2 linked regions of the Bombyx mori genome follow. The protein of the gene in region 1 purifies or fractionates together with the protein of each later gene. This does not show direct contact. Links are inferred from orthologs where the notes say so. Each region holds a gene or a part of one and is shown on either strand. Other genes may lie near its edges.

Evidence for each region.
Region 2: the proteins of DNA-directed RNA polymerase II subunit RPB7 (region 1) and uncharacterized protein LOC101743276 purify together in Homo sapiens (affinity purification with mass spectrometry; 4 studies listed by BioGRID and IntAct, counting the BioPlex papers as one, with this or other methods). This does not show direct contact. The link is inferred for Bombyx mori from reciprocal best matches to the Homo sapiens genes POLR2G and POLR2M.

Annotation. Positions count from the first base shown.
Region 1 is NC_085131.1:4,005,847-4,009,950, forward strand, and holds the start of DNA-directed RNA polymerase II subunit RPB7, read left to right. Parts: upstream 1-1,293; 5' UTR 1,294-1,452; coding exon 1,453-1,464; intron 1,465-1,542; coding exon 1,543-1,652; intron 1,653-2,471; coding exon 2,472-2,631; intron 2,632-3,472; coding exon 3,473-3,523; intron 3,524-3,748; coding exon 3,749-3,886; intron 3,887-4,104. Other genes in the region: small GTP binding protein RAB8, read right to left, coding at 380-440, 674-797. UniProt on the Homo sapiens protein: Core component of RNA polymerase II (Pol II), a DNA-dependent RNA polymerase which synthesizes mRNA precursors and many functional non-coding RNAs using the four ribonucleoside triphosphates as substrates.
Region 2 is NC_085116.1:3,263,874-3,268,226, forward strand, and holds uncharacterized protein LOC101743276, read right to left. Parts: upstream 2,948-4,353; 5' UTR 1,622-2,947; coding exon 686-1,621; 3' UTR 497-685; downstream 1-496.

The DNA of each region.
Region 1 (4,104 bases):
TAGCCTTGGTGGGTTCAACAATATGATTTACCACTAGTATTATTTTTCACCATTCTTCATTGTATTACTTTGTGATACACTAAATTTAAATAAGTACTAATTTAAAAAATGGTAATTTACAATTTAAATTTTGTATTATTGTAATACAATAATCCAGTGATTCAAATTAATTACCAAAAAAAATAATGTAAGAAGATTAAATATGCAATGTGAGACAAACTATAATGTACATTAATTCATTGATTATTACTTACATACTGATAATGAACATGTAAAATATAATTTTAATACATAAATCTACAGTAAAAATAACAATGAAACAACTTTTAAATTTCTTTAATCCAAATATGATAATCTTTTGTTAAAGAATAAAACTCACCATATTTGTAATTTAACTTTTTTGCCATCAAGGTCTATTGTTCGAATTTTAAAGTCGATACCTGGAAACAAAAACCCATTGAAACTGGAGGGACTAATTAAAATTAGTGAGTATGATGTCATTAATTCTAGTGTCCTTTAAATTAATAAGGGTTTCGTTATAAAGGCCGCGCCCTGATCATCATGTATTTAAAAAATGAAACAATGAATAGGAAACAAAAAACACTTCCATTACCTACAATAAGTGTACAAAAAAATTCTTCACTGACACTTTTGATCTGAAGAAACCACTTACCAATTGTGGATATAAAGGAGATGTTAAATGCATCTTCAGAAAATCTAAATAGTATTGATGTTTTTCCCACTCCCGAATCTCCGATTAGAAGTAATTTGAATAAACAATCGTAAGTTTTTGCCATTTTTACAACAATCTGATTACGCTAATACACATAGCCTGCCATTCATTTGGCATTTTTCAATCTCCACTAGTGATGTGAAACGAATTTTAATTTTCTATAGTAAATTAGTCACATGAGATACTGATTTTTTTAATAATAGTTAAATTGAAAAAATAAACATTTATTTACATAAATTATGTAAAAAATATTTGTAACTTAAATTTATTTATATGAACTATAAATAAGGAAGTTTGTTTATGATTATAAGTAATTGATATTTGATTTTTTTTTAATTTTTTGTGCTAGGTGAAAAGTGTTGATTATGTGTTTATTTATGATTTGGTATTTTTAGCAACTACTTCTAATTTATGACTAAACGAAAATATCGAGAGGTCGTTGCTCGTTTGTTAATAATGCAATCCACGTTACTAGTACAACAATAACAAAATTTGCATTTAGCCGTTTAAGTTACATTCCTTCTGCCTGTCCAATGCTCAAATTAAAGGAAAAATAATGACATTGACTGTTGACATGACTCAATTTTCAATTTGGTTTAAAATTTAAAATTAGCATGCAGTGTTGAGAGTTGATGCTGTTTATGTATATTACTAAAAAATAACAATAAAACAAATCTAATTGAATGGAATACTAATCGTAATTTGTCCACCGCTGAAAAATGTTCTACCACGTATGATATTTTATTTTCCTGTTTCACTCTGTTTAAAATGAACGCCAATGCATTCGTTTTGTAAATAAAACTTTTCAGATTTCATTGGAGCACGAAATTTTGTTACATCCGAAATATTTCGGTCCACAACTATTGGAGACAGTCAAACAGAAGCTATACACTGATGTGGAAGGCACCTGTACTGGCAAGTAAGTCGGTATTAATTGGCCGTAGGCCCACTGAGTTATGTTCGAACAAGACCTAGCGACTTGATTGCGATGTGAGTAACGCTTCGCTAATTTCCACATTATATTTATTTCTGTAACTATGGAGTGTATAAAATACTTTTCATCTTTAATATCGGAAATAAATACTGGAATGAACTGTCTTCCCTGCAGCTGCTGCTCAGAAGTCGCACTCTACTCACAAGTGTTACATGAATAGAAAATAAGGTCTGAAATAGGCTTAAACAGGAACTGACAGTAACTTTTGCTTTTTATATTTATTATTCTAGATCTGGGATGCCCAAACTATTTCCATAGCCCATAGCAAAATCACTTTTACAAAACCCTTTCTCTAGTTTTTTTCCTATTAATACAAAACACTTACCAATTTTAAAATTTGCTAAACTGATCCCGTTAGCAATCATCTAAGCAATAAAAAAAAAAAACATTAGGAAACCTGGCTCTAGATAAATTATTTCATGATTTATGGAACAATTGTTAAAAAGTGGTTATCTGAGCCCATAACAATTATAATATCAATGTATAATTATTATAGCAACATCAATGTATAATATCACTTAATGATAAATTGAGTTGATATCTCAATGGCATTCCAAACTCCTTTACCACACTTCAAACTGGAATGAAGGATTGCTTTGTGGCAAAAATAAACTAGAGGGTGGTTGGTATTCACTGAAAAAAGCTCAAATATTGCCTTACTGCCATTACATATTTAACTAACTGTTCTCTGAATTTATTGTGCAATTTGTGAACAAAATACAGTGAAAAGCAAAACATTTTTAGATATGGATTTGTCATCGCGGTAACTCAAATAGACAATATCGGAGCTGGTCTCATACAACATGGACAAGGGTTTGTCATGTACCCTGTTAAATACAAAGCTGTTGTGTTCAGACCATTCAAAGGAGAAGTTTTAGATGGTATTGTCACACAAGTAAACAAGGTGACTTAAACTATTAAAATTATGCTTAATGTTATTTCGGGTGAGTTGGAATCTTTTCTGAAGTAAGATAGTAGAACTGGTAATTCCTAACAAAGTGAAATTAATCACAAATAGAAACTTACAAAATAACAAATATTATAAGTTAGTTTTATTATATTGCGGTTATATTTTCAGAAAAAGTTTCCTTCACCCTGTAATTAATCTAGAGTATGCTGTTTTAGTACCACCATTTATAAATCAACAGTTTACTTTAGTAACACCTACCCCCTATTTATACGGTACCTATTATACTTGATTTTGGCTTTTTCACATTATGTAAATTTATGAAAATGTATACATTGGTTGCATATTAACATTATTGGGTCTCATTAATTTGGCAACACTGATGCAATAATGTACTAGTCTCTGTATTGTGGTATGTCACATGCATTAAGTGAATTATATACCTTTAATATGTAACCAAACAGAAAGTAGATCATGAAAAAGCAATTGAAAAAAATATTAGTGCTGTAGTAGTAGCGGAAGTTTATTTTACATGCTTTCAAATAGCACAAATAAAGATTTTATTTTACACTGTTTTGTAACTGATATATCTTCAGTATAAATAGGGGATAGGTGTATACTAAAATGTCTCTTTTATTAAGTAAAATAAATCAAATTTAATTTAAAGAGCCACTTACAAGGTTTTCCGCCCATAATTTTTTTAATACCGTTGTTGTCAGGCCCTCTTACAACTTATCTGATGGCAAGTAGTAACTATCGTTCATGTCAGTAATGCCAAGGGCACAGCCACATCAAGTCGTAATTAAAATTGTAAATTTACTATGTTTAATGTTTTTAGGTTGGCATGTTTGCGCAAATAGGACCTCTCAAATGTTTTATATCCCATCATGTGAGTATTCAGAGTGAATTATATAATTAAGCTTAAATTATTTTAAAATTATCAAGAGTATTCCTTCCTAAAAATATTGAGCCCCTCAGCCCATCTACCAATTACACCCGTTTGGTGAAAGATCTTCCCTTTGTCTTATACTACCAAATAATATTTTATAACCCAGAAAGGTTTACAAATTTTTGTACCATAAAATGAAATTATAAAAATATTTTTATTTTACAGTCAATACCAGACTATATGGAGTTCTGTCCTAATGTAAATCCTCCATGTTATAAGAGTAAACAAGAGGATAGCGTAATACAAGAAGAGGATGTGATCCGATTAAAGATTGTTGGTACGAGGGTTGACGCGAGTGGCATTGTAAGACATTGTTTTAATAATTATGTTTAAAATATCCATGATGGAATATTTGTATATAAGTATATAGTAGAAAACTAATCAGTCCTCCATTTACTTTCAACATAAGTTGGTCGTGCAATAAAAAAATAATAAAATAGTCACAATTGCTATTAAGTCATGTGTTATATTGTAAGGTGTCACAGATTCTGCTTTGAAAAAAAAAACAATCTTTTTGTTTT
Region 2 (4,353 bases), on another chromosome or scaffold:
AATTTATAGACAGAAATGAGCATGTAGTTAATTAAATTAATAAATAAGTAACTTACTGTACTTATCATCTACCCTTTTACATGTTCAATTAAATGTAATTTAAGGGCTCCTTTTTGAAATTTAACAATACAACTCTTAAAGTGTATTTTATATATATCGTGATTGTTGTCTTTATACACATTTTCCCCTCATATTGGGTCTATCAAGCTCTGGTGAAGTGTATATCTAAAATACCATAAGTGTATATGTTAGGGAGCGACTTGCATTTACATCAATCTGATAAGCTTTATCCACAGGTTAGGTAGAATCTGGCGCCAAGTTCCGTTCAAAAATCCCGTTGTAAACGGAGCGCCAGACTACCGACTGTGTTTACTGTAAGCAGAACGGTTTTTTGAGGTTGCGAAATTTTATTTAATCAAATAATTACATACTTTACGCTTTAAGCTTATATCGGATTCAGAGTAATGAATTGTAAGGGATAATAATGAAGTATACATAAATAGACAGAAATTTATTATTATTGTTATTATTATACATTAAATCAGTAAGTACACAGTTAAATTACAATCCAGTCGTTTTCCTGCTATTTTGATCCCTTAAAAATGAGGACTGGCATGAGCCATGAAAGTCGTAAGTCTAACTAAGCTCTCATGAGAGAACTTGGTTCTAGAACTTAGTATGTATATTATTTCATTATGGTAAATATGACACCTCCTTTCTCAGGCTCCTCATCATGAACTTCTTTGTCACTGCCCTCACCATCAGACTCATAATCATCACTATTGGTGTCTCGGTATGAACCAAACCTTGATAAATCCAATGGCAACTGACTCATTTTGACTCCAGCCATTGAAGCCAGCCTCTCAGCTGCATGTAATGCATTCACCTCTTTAAGACGTAAGTTATGTTCTTGCTGGAGTTTTAATGAGTCTTCTATGGATAATATTTTTGCTGGCCCATGTATTGTAGGAGGAGGTGTGGCAGCAGTCACCTCCCATTTTTTACATTTGTTCTTTCCTCTTTGTATTTCCTTTTCTGGGTTGTGGACATCTGTGTTTGTGGTCTTATGTGGCTTAAACTGTCTCGTTACTTTGGCTTTGGTGTTGTGTTCCGTTTTGTTAACTATATATCTTACGTGGGGGATCTCATCTATCTTGATTAGATCTTCAGGGGTTATCGAAAGTTTTTCAGGTTCTAAAATCTTAATTTTTTTCTCATGGAATGAGTTCTGAGTCAAGATTTTTAGGACATCTTCAGGGTCACTGTCGTCATCTGAATCTAAATCTGTGGATTGTTTAATTGTACCTGTCCATTCTAATTCTTGTACGGATTGTTTGTCAATTCCATTCAGTTTCATATTTTCGAACATCCGACACGCATCTTCTTCCTCTTGCTTCGCTTTTAATTCGGATAAGATTTTATCGTACAAAATCTGTATTTTAGCACCTTTGTCACTTAGTTTAGATATAAAACTTTTATTGTTTAATAACTTAATTTGTCTATCTCGTAGTTCAAGCAACTCAGGAATAGTTTTTAACGATAGATCGGTGATTTTTCCATCGATTTCTGTTTTTGGCGGCGGCGGCAAGATACCAGGTATCCTTTTATTTATCTTGTTCATTATTTATATATTTTCAATTAGTTTTAACGCATTCACATTTTTTAACGATCTTAATTCCTGTTATTACTGTAACATTGACTAATTCTTTTTTTGTACTTACATTTGCAACAACTACTACTACATTCACATGGAATCTAAAAGATTTATATAGGTAAAAATACTAAAAATACTGGATTTGGTTAACTTTTTGTGGAAATAGAAAACACTAGCTGTTTGTTTGTCACTTTTGCCCTTTTTTGTTATTTTGTCAACTAGGACAAAGGAAACATAGCCTATTCAACCTTAAATTGTGAATTCGAACTCATATTGTGATTTAAACAAGAAGTGAAGTGAAATGAAGTATAGTAGAATGCAACAAAATTAAATAGATATAACGTTGGTAAAATGGAGAGAAAGTATATTTCGTGAGATTTGTGTAAGAATTCGAAAAGCCATGAACTTAAATTAAATCCTTTTCCCCCTCATCATCATTATAGTCGGTTGCTCTTGGCAAAGCAGTCGTGGTCATGTGAAATTGTTGTTTATTAAAGCCTTGACAGATGTTTTCCATAATTTGCAAACCCCACTTAACGAGTGCGTGCGCACTCGTTAAGTGGGGTTTTAGTAAAGTCTTTCACCTGATCAGTCCAGCGCATGGAGATTTGTCCACGAGATCTCTTACCATTTACTCTACCCTGAACAACAAGTTTCTCGATAGACTCTGCGGGCCCTACCTATTCGCTATGGAGCTATTCCAATTACGCTATGGCGGGTAGGTGAGCTTACGGGTATTAAACTAAGAGAGTTTGCTATCAATGACCCTAGCAAAAACAGTGCTTCACAGAATCTACTACCGGATCTCGGGATCGCGACCCACTGATAAGATCCGGCGAGAAGCTCATTAGGTTGTGCCTTGACATCGTCCTCTATGATAATGAAAGGAAATAGAGCTTATACACGGAATACTTCTTTGCTGCTTTGAAATTTGCATCTATTGAGTTTGATCTCCAAAATGACCTTCCGCATTTAAAATATCTTTACTTTAAATCAATTAAGTAAAATCAATTCTGCCAAACATTTTGTGTGAGGTTTAGGGCTGCCACATCCAAAACCTTGGGTTTCAAAGAGTGTCGCAAAAATCCAATTTCCATAATGAAAAATAAGTGAAGTGGCATAGATACTACATTTTTTTGTGTTGCCCAGCAGTTGGAGCATCAGGTAATGAATACTCCAAAGGGTCCCACAAACAAGTTCGAAAAGGAATGACGGCGAGTAGCGAAAGAGTCGCGGGCGTACACTCGTGTGTATGCTTCGGGGGGCATTTAAACGGCAGGCTTACCTTACAATAAAAAGTGAGTAGTCTGTGCCTTGCTAAGTTGTTGTTGCTTCTTATTGATGTCTTATCTATGCTTGCTATTTAAGACGTTTTACTGAGGACTTTTTGGCAGGAACGCGAGGGGTGAAGTTGTATAATTTTGTCTATTTGGTATTTCTTCACGTTTAAATGTGTAACTAGATGATGACCGAGCTTTGCTCGTTTTTTTTTTGATGACGCCATCTTGTTGTGTCTTTAAATAGTATTATTATTCGCCAATAGATGTCGGGAAAGTTGATTATTGTAAACACGAATAAAACAAAATTTTCTGAAAATAAATCGTAGCTAGATCGATTTATCGCCCCCGAAATCCCCTGTATACTAAATTTTATGAAAATCGTTGGAGCCGTTTCCGAGTTTCAGATTATACATATATATATATATATATACAAGAATTGCTCGTTTGAAGGTATAAGATAACGGTGATTTATTAACTGTTTAATATCTGTGAAAGTGCACAGATGTGGGAAAATGAAACAAAGCCGCTGGACGTAACTTCTCGGGATCCTCCAAAAAGTCCACTGAAAAAATCTCAGTAAATGAAGGTAAATGACCACCAATATTATATATCATAGATTATATCTCATCTCATATCATCTCATTTAATTTTATCCCAGTTGATTAATGTCTCAAATTAATCATCTTCATTTCATTTCATTTCACTCCATAATACCATTTTTCATAAAAATATGAATATAAATTAAAATAAGATATGATCTAAAGGTCTTAGTTACCAGGTCATAAAATCCCTTTAATAAAAAAACGTTTTACTGATCTGTGGTTAAATATGTCATAGAATTTAGATCATAGAGTAAACACATATTTTAGATCATAATTATCTAGAAAAATATTATGTACACGAGTGAAATTATACAAATTATAAACAATGCGCAAGTCCAATGCTTAGTTAAAATATTATGTAGGAATAATTAGTGTATAAGTTATGTGATCCAAGAATTCTAGAACACCAAGAGATCTAAGAGTAAAGTAATTTAAAGGAACAGATTCAACACTCAAGAGACATGGAAGGAACGGTATTCTAAATAAATAATCATACTTTGCATAAATTTTCATTTATCACCTGATTTTCATCTAACAAGTACCCAAGTATTACAAACTAAAAGTATCATAAAGATCATTTAAATGATAATAATTTGACTCAAATTAATTGTACCACAAACTATATAGATGATTTTATCATTGAAATGAAAACAATGACCAAATGAACATAAATAGCACACGTTTTCTTACTTTATCCTTTTTTGAGGTACAGGATGCTGGGAGCATACACTGGTTGGTTGTACTATGGTGACTCTTTCAATTTAGTCGGGAAATCCAGTTTGATGGGTAGAATGTCTAACATTTTCATGTTTCGCAT